Cricetulus griseus: one gene and its partners. The main gene of each other region encodes a partner of the protein of the gene in region 2 in a complex. Links are inferred from orthologs where the notes say so. Each region holds a gene or a part of one and is shown on either strand. Other genes may lie near its edges. The genes, in order: Igf2bp1, Syncrip, Rpl13a and Dhx9.

The links.
Region 1: Syncrip (region 2) and Igf2bp1 share a complex: the UniProt entries of both Homo sapiens proteins name them as parts of the coding region determinant (CRD)-mediated complex. The link is inferred for Cricetulus griseus from reciprocal best matches to the Homo sapiens genes SYNCRIP and IGF2BP1.
Region 3: Syncrip (region 2) and Rpl13a share a complex: the UniProt entries of both Homo sapiens proteins name them as parts of the GAIT complex. The link is inferred for Cricetulus griseus from reciprocal best matches to the Homo sapiens genes SYNCRIP and RPL13A.
Region 4: Syncrip (region 2) and Dhx9 share a complex: the UniProt entries of both Homo sapiens proteins name them as parts of the coding region determinant (CRD)-mediated complex. The link is inferred for Cricetulus griseus from reciprocal best matches to the Homo sapiens genes SYNCRIP and DHX9.

The regions. Positions count from the first base shown.
Region 1 is NC_048600.1:109,139,940-109,143,930, forward strand, and holds the start of Igf2bp1 (insulin-like growth factor 2 mRNA-binding protein 1), read right to left. Parts: upstream 2,835-3,991; coding exon 2,660-2,834; intron 1,527-2,659; coding exon 1,466-1,526; intron 1-1,465. UniProt on the Homo sapiens protein: RNA-binding factor that recruits target transcripts to cytoplasmic protein-RNA complexes (mRNPs). This transcript 'caging' into mRNPs allows mRNA transport and transient storage.
Region 2 is NC_048597.1:198,373,581-198,376,036, reverse strand, and holds the end of Syncrip (heterogeneous nuclear ribonucleoprotein Q), read left to right. Parts: intron 1-765; coding exon 766-1,357; 3' UTR 1,358-1,893; downstream 1,894-2,456. UniProt on the Homo sapiens protein: Heterogenous nuclear ribonucleoprotein (hnRNP) implicated in mRNA processing mechanisms. Component of the CRD-mediated complex that promotes MYC mRNA stability.
Region 3 is NC_048599.1:154,013,375-154,017,665, reverse strand, and holds Rpl13a (60S ribosomal protein L13a), read left to right. Parts: upstream 1-1,474; 5' UTR 1,475-1,551; coding exon 1,552-1,566; intron 1,567-2,613; coding exon 2,614-2,686; intron 2,687-2,717; exon of another isoform or gene 2,718-2,800; intron 2,801-2,933; coding exon 2,934-2,999; intron 3,000-3,105; coding exon 3,106-3,207; intron 3,208-3,248; exon of another isoform or gene 3,249-3,333; intron 3,334-3,401; coding exon 3,402-3,487; intron 3,488-3,525; exon of another isoform or gene 3,526-3,595; intron 3,596-3,662; coding exon 3,663-3,722; intron 3,723-3,766; exon of another isoform or gene 3,767-3,855; intron 3,856-3,962; coding exon 3,963-4,085; intron 4,086-4,174; coding exon 4,175-4,261; 3' UTR 4,262-4,288; downstream 4,289-4,291. Other genes in the region: Flt3lg (fms-related tyrosine kinase 3 ligand), read left to right, coding at 295-420. UniProt on the Homo sapiens protein: Associated with ribosomes but is not required for canonical ribosome function and has extra-ribosomal functions.
Region 4 is NC_048598.1:38,197,755-38,201,319, reverse strand, and holds part of Dhx9 (ATP-dependent RNA helicase A), read right to left. Parts: intron 2,983-3,565; coding exon 2,846-2,982; intron 2,503-2,845; coding exon 2,413-2,502; intron 2,317-2,412; coding exon 2,155-2,316; intron 2,059-2,154; coding exon 1,981-2,058; intron 1,596-1,980; coding exon 1,404-1,595; intron 922-1,403; coding exon 780-921; intron 349-779; coding exon 266-348; intron 1-265. UniProt on the Homo sapiens protein: Multifunctional ATP-dependent nucleic acid helicase that unwinds DNA and RNA in a 3' to 5' direction and that plays important roles in many processes, such as DNA replication, transcriptional activation, post-transcriptional RNA regulation, mRNA translation and RNA-mediated gene silencing.

The DNA of each region.
Region 1 (3,991 bases), on a different chromosome or scaffold from region 2:
TTCCGGCTTTAAATTTTAAACCATTCTCAAGAGCAGAAGGGGAAAGATCACATATTTCAGAATTCCAGTTATTAGATTCCCCATCAAGAGTTTTGAATTTAAATATTCATAATCTTCAAATAGACCTCAATTATGTTATTCTCTCCCAAATTTTTTCAAAGTAAGACTTTTCTTTCCTTTTCATTTTAGTGCCTCTTTGCTCCTAATTCTAATCACCTTTCCAATTTCTCAAGCATCTGACAACAAATCACATACTCTAGAAACAGACACAATATTGATCATCTATAGAGGCAATCATTCAGTTACTTTAAAATCTGAAGGCAAACCACAGAACAGTTTATCTCCAGCTAAACTTTAGATTCTTTAAAAGTACCCCCCCCACACACACACACACCAAAAGCACAGCACCCACACACATTTCCACCTTAGGAAAGGCCAAAAACTGTTCAGAAATTCAGGAAGTTTCCAGTTGAAAGAGGGGTTGAGGGGACCAAAAATGTACTGAGGACTGCTTCCAGCTAAAGACAGGAAAGAAAACTGCACTGTCAACATGTTCAAAAAGTCTGATGTGAGAAACACTGCCCTTATGCTACACAGTCAGAGTTCAACCGAAGACTTCAGAATTCAAAGCACCCTGAATTTTAGGGGAGCAAGATGGAGATACCCCATTTTGATGGAAAAGATGGAATACAGGGAAAAAAGAACTCAGATGAGAACACACACACACACCCATTCATCCCTGGAGTTCTAGACCCTCCAAAGAGCCCCAGCTCACAGCCTGAGCACAAAGCTCTCACCCCAGATGGTCCCTTGTAACAATGGGCTGAAGGAGTGGGGGTGGGGGGGCTGGAAAGGGATAGTACAGCCAAAGGATATTCTTTGAAAATCCAGTTGAAGGGGCAATATAAGATGCGAGGGGCTGGGGATGAGGGTCTGTGAGGGGGGCAACAAAAGCCATGCCTATAACAGAAATTAATACGGCATAAGCAGATTCTAATAGGGGTGGATTGCTCATTATTTCACCCCCAATGAGAAAGGGATTCCCCTAAATCCATTTTCAAATTATTATGTGGATGAGAGAAACAGAAAAAAAAAAAGAAGAAGCCTGGCGGGAAGTTAAAGAAATCACCCCCGCTATGAGTTTGAACTCTGTATATCTACGCTTCCCTACAAAAATGGTCCCTCACTTTGAACTAACTCCACAGGGCTTCCCCCAATTGATTTTTTTCTCTTTAGTTTCTGAAAGTAACATCTTTTGGCCCACCCCAATCCCAAGTTGTTGTTGTTGTTTTTTTTTTTTTTAAAGCTCTAAAACACCCATTACAAGATCTTGGCCAATCTTATTTCCCAGCCCCCAACATCCGGAGTTGGGAAGGCCAGTAATGGGTTTGTTCCACTGGAGACGACGCTATGGATTGGACCCCCTTAATATTCCTCAGTTCCCCCAAATGAGTTCTTTTCCTACCTTTGTTTTTTGGGGACCGAGTGTTCAATCTCTAGGCGTTTTCCTTGTAGCTCTACTTTCCCTGAAGATTTAAAAAAAAAAAAAATGAATGAGGGAACAAGAGTGGGGGATGGGGAGGAAGGGAGGATAAGGAACATTAGCTAAATTCAAGAGTTTGAGGGGCGTCTTAGGAATCTAGGCACTAAGCTGCCTAAGCCTTGGCGGGGGGGTGTTCTACCTTGCTCCAGGCATGGTAGAACCCGTAAATTCGTTTTTCTCAAATTTTCGTTTAATTTCCACTAATCACGTGGGCTAGTTGCAGGGACTGCTCCGAGAGCCAGATTTAGGAAAGGTGTGAGAGCGTTTGTGTGGTGAGCGCGCGGCTTCTGCGGCTCCCAGAAGTAGGAAGGAGCCCGGGGAAAGGATCACCCCGTTTCTCCGAGTGGGGTGGGAGTAGAGCATTAAACTTTATTTTCCTGCCGAGCCTCGGAGAAGAGCTCAGGCGACTAGGCGTCACCTGTCGGGGCCGGAGGGCTAGCCGAGGGCCCCGGGGGGCGCGGCGCGGCGCGGCCGGGTGGGGAGGGTCCCTCGCGGCCACCGCGCGCCTCTCGGCCCAGCCTCGGCGTCTCGGGAAGCAGCATGGCGACCCGGCGCCGCCGCCGCGCCACCCGGCTCACGCCCCACTTTCAAATCAAAATGGCTCAAGCCCCAGGCCTTGGGCGGGAGGCGGGAGCCCCTTCCTCCCACGTCCTGTCTCAGGGCGAGTGCCCAGGAAGAGAGCGGGAAGACCCGAGGTGCAGGAGCACCCCTCCTGGGAAGGCCTAGGAGGGAGAGCATGGGCGTGGGGGTGCTCCAGCAGGGGGGGCCTCCCAGCGGAGGGGTGCGGGCACCGGGGAGACCACGCCTAGACCCGGGGCCCGGGAGACCCCCACCCCCACCAGTTGCCGACGGGGGCTCCCGCCCCGTCGGTGGGGAGGGGGGCGAGGAGCCTCGCGTGTCCCGGGCTGGGGGAAGGGAGAAGGGAACCCCGACCATTCCCGCGTGGGGAGGGGGCGTCGAGGGAGGTAGGTCGAGGCAGGCTACCGAGGCCGAGCCCCGCGGGCCCGGGAAGAGTTGGCGGGCAAGAAAAGAGGAGCTGCGGGTCTCCGTTGTTCTGGGATTTCGTTGTGTGGTTTTGTTTTTTTTTTTCCCCCGGGGAGGTGGCCGCGCTCTTACCCGAGAAAGTTTCGATGGCCTTCATCGCCCAGTGTTCGTCGGGGCAGTCCACGAAGGCGTAGCCGGATTTGACCAAGAACTGGCCGCTGTAGGAGATCTTGTGCTCCGCAAACACTTTCTCCAAGTCTGCGGGGGTCACGCTCTCGTTGAGGTTGCCGATGTAAAGCTTGTTCATGGTGGCGGTGGCGGGGCAGGACGTGGTCCCGGGCAAGGCCGAACGGGCGGGCGGGCGGGCTGGCGAGCGGAGAGCCTCCTAGGCCGAGAGGCGCGGAGGCGGGCGGCGGGAGCTGCAAACTTTCTACGCGCCCCACCCCTCAAGTTGTCCGGAGCTCCGGGCGGGTGGGCGACCTGAGGGCGCGCGGAGGTCACGGGAGAGTTCGGGGTGGCCCGGGAGAAGTGCCCGCGGAGCGCAGGGAGGCGGACGACGCGGCGCAGCTCCTTCCCTTCGGTCCGAAACCCCTGCGAGCGGGCTGGTGTGTCACGTTTCTCCGCGGCCGCCCTGGCGCCGCCTCTAAATAAAATCGACTTGGAAAAAAAAAAAAATGGAGCGGAAAAAAAAAAAGGCGAAGCCACGTGGTGACAGCCCCCACCCACCCTGCAAGGAAAGACCCCCGACGCCACCGGGCCCCTGGGCCGTCCAACCGGGACCAACCCAACAGTCTCCGGTCTTGGGGGGCACCCGGCGCACCCCAGGGGTTAGCCAGGAAGGTGGAGACGGAGTCCCCGAAGCTCCCCTCGCCCCCTCCCCCTTTGCAAGAACCTGGCCCCTGAGGCGGCGCCCCGCCCCCACCCACCCCTCTTGCCACCGCGACCTGCCCTGGGGGAGGGCGGTGGCGACCCAAATCTCCCCAGTCCTTTGGAGTGAAACGTTCGGTCATTTTTTTATTCGTTGTGTGGAGACTGGGTTGCCCACCCCACCCTGGTAAACTGCTAGCGACTGACAGGCGGGGGACGGCCGAGACAGACAAAGAGAAGCCGAGGACTCCGGGGTCTTCAGGAGGGGATCGCAAGAACCGGCTAGTTAGGGGGGAAGACGCCTTCCCTCTACGTTTCTAAGCAGGGCGTCACTGTCTTCCCCTCCACACCCCCAGGAGACTTCCCTGGCCTCCCGGGTCCAGATCCGGGGGACCCTGGTCGCGCGGGACAGCTCCTGGGAACGAGGGACCCGCGGCAAATGGTGTTTCGGGATCCCCGCCGGAGCAGAGCTGGCTCGCACCCAGTCCAGCTGCTGGATGACAGCTCTCCAGCGTTCCTGGGGGGGAGCCGGCGACCCGGCTGAGGTCACTCCCGAAGGACCAGCGGGGTGGGAGAGGATGATGCGGGGTGCTCGCT
Region 2 (2,456 bases):
CCTTCCTTCCAGGGAGGGTGAGGCCCTCCATGGGGTATCCCCAAAGTCTGTCATATCCTCTGGGGCAGGGCCTAGGGCCTCAAAGATGAGTATTTGTGTTTATGTGTGGTGAAAAATGTCAGAATGATGATGTGGCTTCTTCTATTGTTTTCTTTTTAAGGGTGCATTTCTGTTACAGATTGTTGCTCTCTTGTTTGTAACATTACTTTTATTCTACAGTGCCATGATGTTACTTGTTAGGGTTAAAGGAGCAAACTTGCTCTTCCAGCGTTCCTGAGTTCAATTCCCAGCAACCACATGATGGCTTACAACCATCTGCAATGAGATCAGCTACCTTCTGCTGGTGTGCAGGAAGAATACTGTATACTCAATAAATAAGCCATTTATTTATTTATTTATTTATATTTGTCTTTAGGCCATTTTGCTAAAAAAAAAAGTTCGTCATTTGCTTGTCCTTTATTTGGCATTTCTATTTTATATCATGTGGTCTGTGGTAAAGGAGTTGTAATTCAGAGTGACAAATTTTAAAGCCTAAGAAGTTTGTAAAAAATCTGTTATAGGAATTGTGAAATCATGAAGGATAAATAGAGATTTCTGAATTATTGGGATGTCTGCTTTTATCCTGGTCCTGCTTATTCCTGCTAAGAACTTAACATAGTGCTAATAATTCCATTTTAAAGACTTGAGTTGCTACAAATAAATGCCTACATGCTAGATCACCAATTTGATTTCTACTCTAATCACCGTCTTTTTTCTTTTTACTAGGTATGATGATTACTACTATTATGGTCCACCTCATATGCCTCCCCCAACAAGAGGTCGAGGGCGTGGAGGTAGAGGTGGCTATGGATATCCTCCAGATTATTATGGATATGAAGATTATTATGATTATTATGGTTATGATTACCATAACTATCGTGGTGGATATGAAGATCCATACTATGGTTATGAAGATTTTCAAGTTGGAGCTAGAGGAAGGGGTGGTAGAGGAGCAAGGGGTGCTGCTCCATCAAGAGGTCGTGGGGCTGCTCCTCCCCGTGGTAGAGCCGGTTATTCACAGAGAGGAGGCCCTGGATCAGCAAGAGGCGTTCGTGGTGCGAGAGGAGGCGCCCAACAACAAAGAGGCCGCGGGGTACGTGGTGCAAGGGGTGGCCGCGGTGGAAATGTAGGAGGAAAGCGCAAAGCTGATGGGTACAACCAGCCAGATTCCAAGCGGCGCCAGACCAATAATCAGAACTGGGGCTCCCAACCCATTGCTCAGCAACCGCTCCAAGGTGGTGATCATTCTGGTAACTATGGTTACAAAACTGAAAACCAGGAGTTTTATCAGGATACTTTTGGGCAACAGTGGAAGTAGAAACAATAGGGAATCTGTAAAATTGGAGACTGATAGATTGGCCAGAAACTGGCCCTAAATCTAAACAGGTGCAGTTATAATTTGAGACATCTGGCAAGATTTTCCCTTTATGTATATATTTTAACAATCCAATCCGCTTGGACATGAACAAAGCCACACTTATGTTTCTGGCGAACTGATTTTATTTTTACTTTTATTTTTTTCCAATAATGGTATTCTTAGTTAAGAGAAAAATGAGTTGGCATTCCTGATTGAGAATTTGGCTCATTTGGCTGTAGTACATACAATGTTTCTGGGTAGTGTTTAGATTTGGTGTCTTGAAAGGTAGTTGATTAAAAACCAAGTATGTCTTTAATATCTTGTATCAGAACAACTATTTGTATGTTACCAACTTAAATTGCTAGAATAAGGTAAATTGGTACACAACTGCTATTTTTAATTTAGAACTTTGACCTAATTGGGTTTTCAAAACCATTTGGCTACTTGTATTCTTTATGCTGTTGTTAATTTCAATAAAAAATTCACACCTAAATGTATACTTACTAAAACTGTGTTTACAATTCGTTTTTCACAAAATTTCCTGCAAATTTGGTTGAAATTCTCTAGCATGTCAAGGCCAATTAAAGGGTTTGGGCCTTGTTAGTCCTTGTGTGGAATATGTCTGCACATTACACAACACTGACTTGTTGCAGTTTTCTGCTTCTGGGTTAAAGTGCTATTATACAACAGACTTCTTGTTCTCAACCAAAATTTATAATTAGTATGTGTAGTAAGTTTAAGTTGGTAAGTATTTTTATAACTCTTAACTTCATGATAAAGTATTACAAGGACAATTACAGGTAGTTTCAAACAGTTGTAGGATACACTTAACACTAGTTGTTTCAAGTTTTTTCTAACTTAATCTAAAAATCAATTGAGTATTGCCCTTTTGATTATTTTGTGCAGCATGACTCAGCAAAGAAACAACTAATGTGATATTGGGAATAATGTGAGTGCTTAATTTATGAGATGCATTTTCTTTTAAGTCATTGTGCTTCCCTCTTAATTAAAAGGAAAATAACTTTTAATTAGTAAATACTGAAAGCTTAAATTTACTTCA
Region 3 (4,291 bases), on a different chromosome or scaffold from region 2:
GTGTGTGTCACCACACCTGGCTGTAAGACTCCCTTCGGAAAAAACAAAAACAAAAAACTTGGAGTAGATTTTGTGGTGCAAGTCCGAGTTCCTACACCCTGGAGGGGAGGCAGAAGGGTCAGGATTCTGGGTTATCTACTAATACACAGAAATTCGAGGCTAGCCTAAAGGGGGGTGGGGTGGGTGTAGGGAGGGGCAGGGAGAGGTGGGAGGGTGTAAGCTCAGTGGTAGAGGGCTTGAAGGGTGCTGAGAACTCCAGTCTTCAGACAGACCATTGATGATCCAGTTTTACAGAGGAGGATACTGAGGCCAAGCAGGCGTCACCTGACAGATGTTGCACAACCTGGACACAGGGAAAGTTGGGTAGAGCCTGGCCCCTTCTTGGACCTTGCTGCCCCTCCAGCCCTCTCCCCAGGATGAAGTCAACATCAGGACCCAGCCCCACTCACCCCACTCTGTACAAACTCCTTGCTCCCATGAATTTGTATATAAATGGTTTTTACCAGATCTTCCGGACCTATCTGTGGACGGGACAGGGAGTGGGTGGGCTGCTTTAGGTCTCAGGATCTTGGTTTTGCGGGGCTTGGTCATGTAATCCCACCTCCCCAGAAGCTGAGGCAGGATCTCAAGTTTAAGGCCAGCCAGGATTGCAGAAATACTATGTCAGAAGCCAAAACCACGACAACAGGTTTGTTTTCTGAGGCCACCAATGGCCCAGGGTCAGCACTGGGTGATGCTCTCTCTAACAGAACCCCGATGTGAGGCAGAAGCAAGATCATAAAGCCACCAAGTGGCAGGAAAACAAAGTGCTGGAGCCTCCAGGAGGAATCGAGTCAGGCTGGGGAGTTTGGGGAGGTTCTCTAGAGAAAGTGAGTCAGTGAGACGGCCCAATCTGTGTTTTGTTGTGGGAGGTATAGGTACCCCTCAGGGAGGGTATCTCAGATGGCATGCTTAGCCGATACAAAGGCCATTGCAACAGAAGCACGTGTCTGCGGCCCAGGACCCTGCAAGTCCTTCCTCCCACCGTCTCTTCCTTCTGGGGTGACTACCTCCACCGGTTTAACATTCGGAAACTCCTAGATTCAAGAAAGGCCATCAGTTGTCCGCACACCATGAGGTTGAAGGGAGGGGACGCGGACACTGCGAGACCGGCCGGGACTTACGCTCGCCCCCTGGCGGCCACCGCGCGCTCCGCAGCCGCCGGTCCTTGAGGGAGTAATGGCGCCGCGCACAGCGGATACGGGAGCGAACAGCGCTCCCTCCAAATATGGCCGCCGGGGCCGGACGGCCCCGTCCCGCCGAAGCCGCCTCGGGACCCACGTGACCTCCCGCCCCACACAGTCATGGCCGCGAAGGTCCAGCTCAAACCAGTCCGTGATTGGACCATATAAAGATGACCCACCGTCCAGTGTGCGCATGCACACCGCTTCAACCAATGAAAAGACAGAAAGCCTTCCGTTCGTCCCGGGTTGCGTCACTTCCTCCGCCCCTGCGGCAAGGGATAAGAAACCCTGCGCCAAGACCTCCTCCTTTCCCAGGCGGCTGCCGAAGATGGCGGAGGGACAGGTCGGGCTCTGCGCGCGCCGGGAGGTGTGGGGGGTCGGGCGGGCGCCAGGCCGGAGCGGAAGGGGCCTCCGCTCCGCTCGGCGTGTGCAGTGGGACTTAAGGACGCAGTTGAGCAAAGGAAGAACGTTTTGACGCGAGGGCAGTGTAACGTGGGCATAGCGAGCCGCGCATGTCTTTAGGTATGGGGCGACGGAACGCTACGTGTTTCCCGGGGAGACGGGAGTGGGGCTTGGGGCCCCGACACCCGCTAGCAACCTTGAGAGGTCCGTCTCTCAGACACTTGGAACGCGGGGAGCTCGGGGCCGCTCGCTGCTGCGCTTCTGATGCGAAGCTGCTGAGTTAGAGACTCCTGGTTTCGGGACTCAAGCGTGCCGGTTTCTGTAGCTTCTGTCAGTCCTAAGGGTGCTTTCAAAGTCTTTAAGTGTTACGGGATGAATTAGTGAGAAGCATCGGGATTTTGAGGCTATTCAGTAATCGAAATCACCTTTGCTGGGGTATTTTTTCTTCTTAAAAAATGCTTGGAGGATCTCTGCCCGTCTCTTGTCGTTTGGGCCGGGTTACAAGCACATGCCAGCCACCAGGTGTGAGACTTGAAGACTGCTGCTTTCCAGAATTACAAACTAGACAGGGCAGCCATTATATAGTGAATTATTGGGTTTTGCTTTATACTATTGGTATGGTTTCTGTTCCTTGTGAGCGAGTTGAGACTATGATGCAGAGCCACCGTGGCCTAAACTTACCCCAAACGAAGTCTTAGCATGGGATTTTGTTAAAGGCTGGCTGCTTGCACAAGAAGTAGTAGATTGCAGTTTTCCAGCCATTTGAGTCTTTGCATGACAACGAGATGAGGCTCAGTTAAGATTGCAGGCACTTGAACCCTTCTCACGTGCTGCTGGGGCAGCCTTGGGCTTTCTCTTGGTTTGTTGTACCCCTTTGGGGCACCTTATCTGCTTGATAAGTCATCCTGTGGGGAAGGGCACTGGCATGAGTGGTTGGTAACTTGGTAGAGAGAGCCAGACTGCTTCCTAAGCCTTTTGTCTCCCACAGGTTCTAGTGTTGGATGGCAGAGGCCATCTTCTGGGCCGCCTGGCGGCCATTGTGGCAAAGCAAGTGCTACTGGGTAAGTTTCATTCAGAATTTCTGTTTGCCTGCAAGTCAGTGATGAGCAACAATCACCATCTTTCGTTTGAGTCTCACGACTGTGAGATCAACCCATGCACCGCTCTGAGACTTGACGGTCCCTCCTGGACTCCTTCCTGGTTCAAGTGGTTTTGGAGCAGGAGATTTGCACTTCATCTAGGATGTGGTTTTTCTGGGTGTTTAGGGGTGACTTTACTGGCTGTCTTCACAACCCATGTTCTCTCTAGGCCGGAAGGTAGTCGTTGTGCGCTGTGAAGGCATCAACATTTCTGGAAACTTTTACAGAAACAAGTGTGAGTGAGGGCCCAGGGCATCATCTCTAGGTGGGGTGCTGACCTAAGTTCTGGACAAGCAGGTCCTTGGTGTAGACTCGACCTCATCCACTTTTCTTCTTGGCAGTAAAGTACCTGGCTTTCCTCCGAAAGCGGATGAACACCAACCCCTCTCGAGGCCCCTACCACTTCCGAGCCCCGAGCCGCATTTTTTGGCGCACTGTACGAGGTGAGTTGGGCCTGTGGGTGCCATGGAGAATGGGGAATCTGGCAGCCTATGATGAAGCGATCTCCCACTGGTGTTCGAGTTTCCCAACTATGAGACAACTCTACATGCACTACCATCTGAGGCTGGGTGGGCTCCCAGATCTGGGCTAAGAGCGCTTTTCAGCCCCTCTGAAGGGAGTCCTGTTCTTCCCACAGGCATGCTGCCCCACAAGACTAAGCGAGGCCAGGCTGCCTTGGAACGCCTCAAGGTGTTGGATGGGATCCCTCCTCCCTATGACAAGGTGAGCAGCGCAAGCCTAGCTTTCCACAGCCTGTGTCCAGCGTCTGTGATGTTCTGCTATTACCTACATTGTTTGAGCCTCATGAAAACGCCACTAGCTGAGACGCCTGCCCCACCAGCCTCCTTCCCAGGTGATGCTCACAAAAGGTCTCTGAGCCCTTCTCCTTCTCTAACAGAAAAAACGGATGGTGGTCCCTGCCGCCCTCAAGGTTGTGCGGCTGAAGCCTACTAGAAAGGTAAGCTTAAAGTTGCAGAGTGGTCTAGGTGGGACCTGTAGACTGGCAGATGATGTTTTTTTTCTCACGATGGTCTTCGGATGCCACCGATTGGCAGTGCCGATAATGCCACAGGCTCAGCTGATGCCAGTAGGGGCTCCTGTATAGGGGGATATGTCCTTTAAGAGAACCTCTAGGGTCCTTTAGCTCACCCTTGTGCTGCCGGGACACCCATGTCCTTACAGCCTTGTGCCCCTGCAGTTTGCCTACCTGGGGCGCCTGGCTCATGAGGTCGGGTGGAAATACCAGGCAGTGACAGCCACGCTGGAGGAGAAACGCAAGGAAAAGGCCAAGGTCCACTATCGGAAGAAGAAGCAGCTCTTGGTGAGGACAGGACCCTCACATATGCCCTGGGGCGGGAAAGGGTAGTCTGGGAGAGAAAGCCACTCACCGCTTGTTACTTCACCTCACAGAGGCTACGCAAACAGGCAGAAAAGAACGTGGAGAAGAAAATAAGCAAGTTCACAGAGGTCCTCAAGACCAACGGACTCCTGGTGTGAGCCCAATAAAGACTGTTTGTGCTAATGCCT
Region 4 (3,565 bases), on a different chromosome or scaffold from region 2:
CCACCAACATTTTGCCAAAAGCACAGTATCACATACAAAGGAAAACTAATCCTAATATCCAGCCAGCTACTCAAGTCATAAATCACTACTAAGCTCTAAACTAAGTTGCATAAATTCTTACTGATCATCATAAACAAAGTATTACCTGATGGTTCACAGGTTCTCTTAACAATATTCAGAAGTAGATGAAAGGAAAAGAGCAAGGAAAAGCAATTTATTCAATTAGACATAGACAAATCATCCTCTTAATTCATAAGTAACTTACATTAATATCTCTTTCATGAATTTCATCTACAATTACATGACTGATCCCTCGAATCCCCGCTTCTAATTTTCTTAGGAGCACACCTTGAAAAGAAAGTCAGAACAATTATGAGACAGGTTAGGTTTCTTTGTTAGGTAGTCAAAGAAGCAACAAACAACAAATTTTGGCTGGGGTTGGCTGGCAGCACATACCTCTAAGATCAATTATTTAGAGCATGGTGATCATACAGTCACATAGAGAAACCTTTTAACAAGGAGGCAATCAACCCTGCTGCAACACAATTCTATCATTGTAGAAGAGGTCTGAAATATCCTGAATCATATTCTATTTTGAGACTTTTTTCTGTATTGTCCTGACTTTCATGAACTCATTCTATGGTTAGCCTTAAAAAGAGATATTTGCCACCTTCTGCCTCTATAGCACTAGGATTAAAGTGTGCAATACTGTAACCTTTTTATAGTCTTAGTATAAAAATGTGACAATTGCAAATGAGGTATCAAAATGCATTACTGACCTACAGTACAAAACATTATACTGGCATGGGGGCGTGGAAGTATAGACTCAAAGCGGACACTGTAACCACAGCTTTTTCCAGGCTCTTCACCTCTCTCATAAGCAACTCGCTCAGCCACTGCAACTGCACTGATCCTTCTCGGCTGAAAAAACAAAACAAAACACAAAATATGAAACTTCAGAATTAGTTATACTGAAAAGTGTCTATGTGTTATATGCATGATAAAAGCTAGGTTACTACAAAGAGAAACCATGTGTTAAAAAAAAAAAAAAAAACCAAAAACCACCCTAAGTTACATGTTAGGCAAGTGCTCTACCACCAAATACTCAAGCCTTTTTAATGTTCTGACTACATATTCAAGTCCCACCTCAAACTGTTAACACCACACCCAGCTCAAATTTCAAATTACTGCAATGGCTCTCTTTGACAGCTTACTAACAGAAACATGATAGTTAACACAAGTACCTACCATGCCAAGGTTCAATATCAAATCCCCAGTACAAAGGAAGATGGCAGTGGGGCTAGAAACTTAACATTCTTGAAACCTTGTTTGACCACCACCACAACAAACCCCCAAAAACTCCCAAACTATTAATAGAACTCATACACTGGCTTGGTATTTACCTGAGTCACAACAATATTACACTCTGCTGCTCGGCCATTCTGGATAAAGTCATCCAAAATGTACTGTGGAACCTGGGTGGTTTTACCACATCCAGTAGCCCCACGGATTATCACAACCGAATTTTGGCTAATGGCTTCCAGGATTTCAGGTTCAAATTTCTTCACAGGAAGCATCTCTCTCTCTTGTAACACCTGTTAACACAGTTAAAACTTAGTAAAACTTCCTTTGAATAATTTTCCTTTCTAATTGGCTTACTACCAATATTTGTATTTCTAATAGAATTGATTCTCAACTAAATTTCTAGAGAATCTGTCTTGTGGTCCTCATTCTATTTCATTCTTAGGTCTCCATAAACATTCTAAATGTAATTACTTGCCACAAAATGTTAATAATTTTTCAATTTGCTGCAGTGCGTTCAAATAGTAGCACAACTCATTTTTAGGTCCTGAATTAACAGCCACTACTATCAGATTTTAACTATGATACATGATTACTAATTATTTCAGATTTGTCATTCAACCTAACTACACTGTTCTGAAACACTAGACAATGAATGTGAAAATCTTCACCACTTACACTTTGTAAATTATGATCCTGTTCCAGCTGGTATGTTAATTCATTCTTTAGGTCCATGCTGATTTGTTCTGTAGAAGCCTACAAAAAGAACACATTCAAACAAAATCTCTTTTATCCTGACCCAAGGAAGGAGGAAATCCCAAAAACTGATCTTAGAAACCTCGTGGTACTCACATAAGCCAGGGGCCCCTCATCAATGTTGCTACTAGTCCAAGGATTCCAGTTGGACTGTGGAGGTGACCAAGGTACCACTCCCACTGCGTTTTGCCTCTGAGATGGTTCAAAATGAGCCAATTTCCCAATGTTGAGTATAACTGGCATGGAAGGATCAACAGGCTGATAAAAAAGCAAAACAAGTAAATAAAAGGAAACACTTGTCTAAGTGAAGATTTTAAAATAAGGTTAACTACAAAAGGCTATATATATGCTTACTGGGGGCACAATTTCAAGATCTAGCTCTTGAACCACATTTTGCAGCTGATGCTCCAAATCTGGAGACAGGAAAACTTTGTACGGCTCCACCTACAAAAAGGAGTAATGAAAATCATTAATACAACCATGAATAAAATTCAAAATTAATTTCACGAAAATAATATAGAGTTGAGACCGGGGTTATTATAGACACAATCAACAATTCCTTTTAGTGAGAATTTCTTTAATGACTCACTCACTGACTGGATCCTTATCAAAGTGCTAATTAAATCAATGCAGCATTTTAATTTCCTGATTTACTAAGCTTTTAGCTCAGAAATAGTATTTGGCATTTAAGACCCCTAATTTCCATTATAATGCCCTTGTCCCCAACTCATTCAACTTCTGTAGCCAAATATTAAGTTACTCAGGGTAGTTATGCCTAAATACATACTCTCTCGCCTTCTTTCTTCTTTGTAAGCCCAGAGTAAGCCTCAATCACTCCAAGATGATAGAGTTGTCGGACAAGTGAGAGGGCACATGACTGTGCTGCTAATTTCTTGTTTGATCCATGTTCACGTGCAAAAATCCCTATAAGAATTACCACAGACAGAAATCAGCTACATAAAAAAACCATCAGAAACAAGTAGGCATTTTATGTACCAAACAAACACCCATATAAAGTACATCACAGTTCTTTTCATTCCATTCGCTATCCAAATACAATTCCTACAACCCACTCATCTTTTATTACCACATCATGAAACCAGATAAAAAAAAACTATATAGACAAACTAAAAGCCTTAAGTATAATATCCATGAAGAGATTTCCACTTAATGAATTAAAACTCCATGGGCATAGTAGAGTACCTATGATCACATCTCAGGATTACAAAACTTTAGAGCTAGATCATGTTAAAAAATATAGGTCTTCTAAGTCACATAGGCTATCACAACTGTTCACTCTTCTTTGATACAAAAGTAGATGCAGAGTGAGCTTGAATTCATAGTTCTATGAAAGCCAGAGCTACCTCAAGAACTTGACCCCCCAAAAAGCAGAGGAACCACTACTGTCCATGAAAAATTTCCATATGTTAAATTTAACAATGTATTAAGTTGCAGAATTCAGAATTTGTTACAGAGAGAGAATTTCAGAACATTAATCTTCTGAACA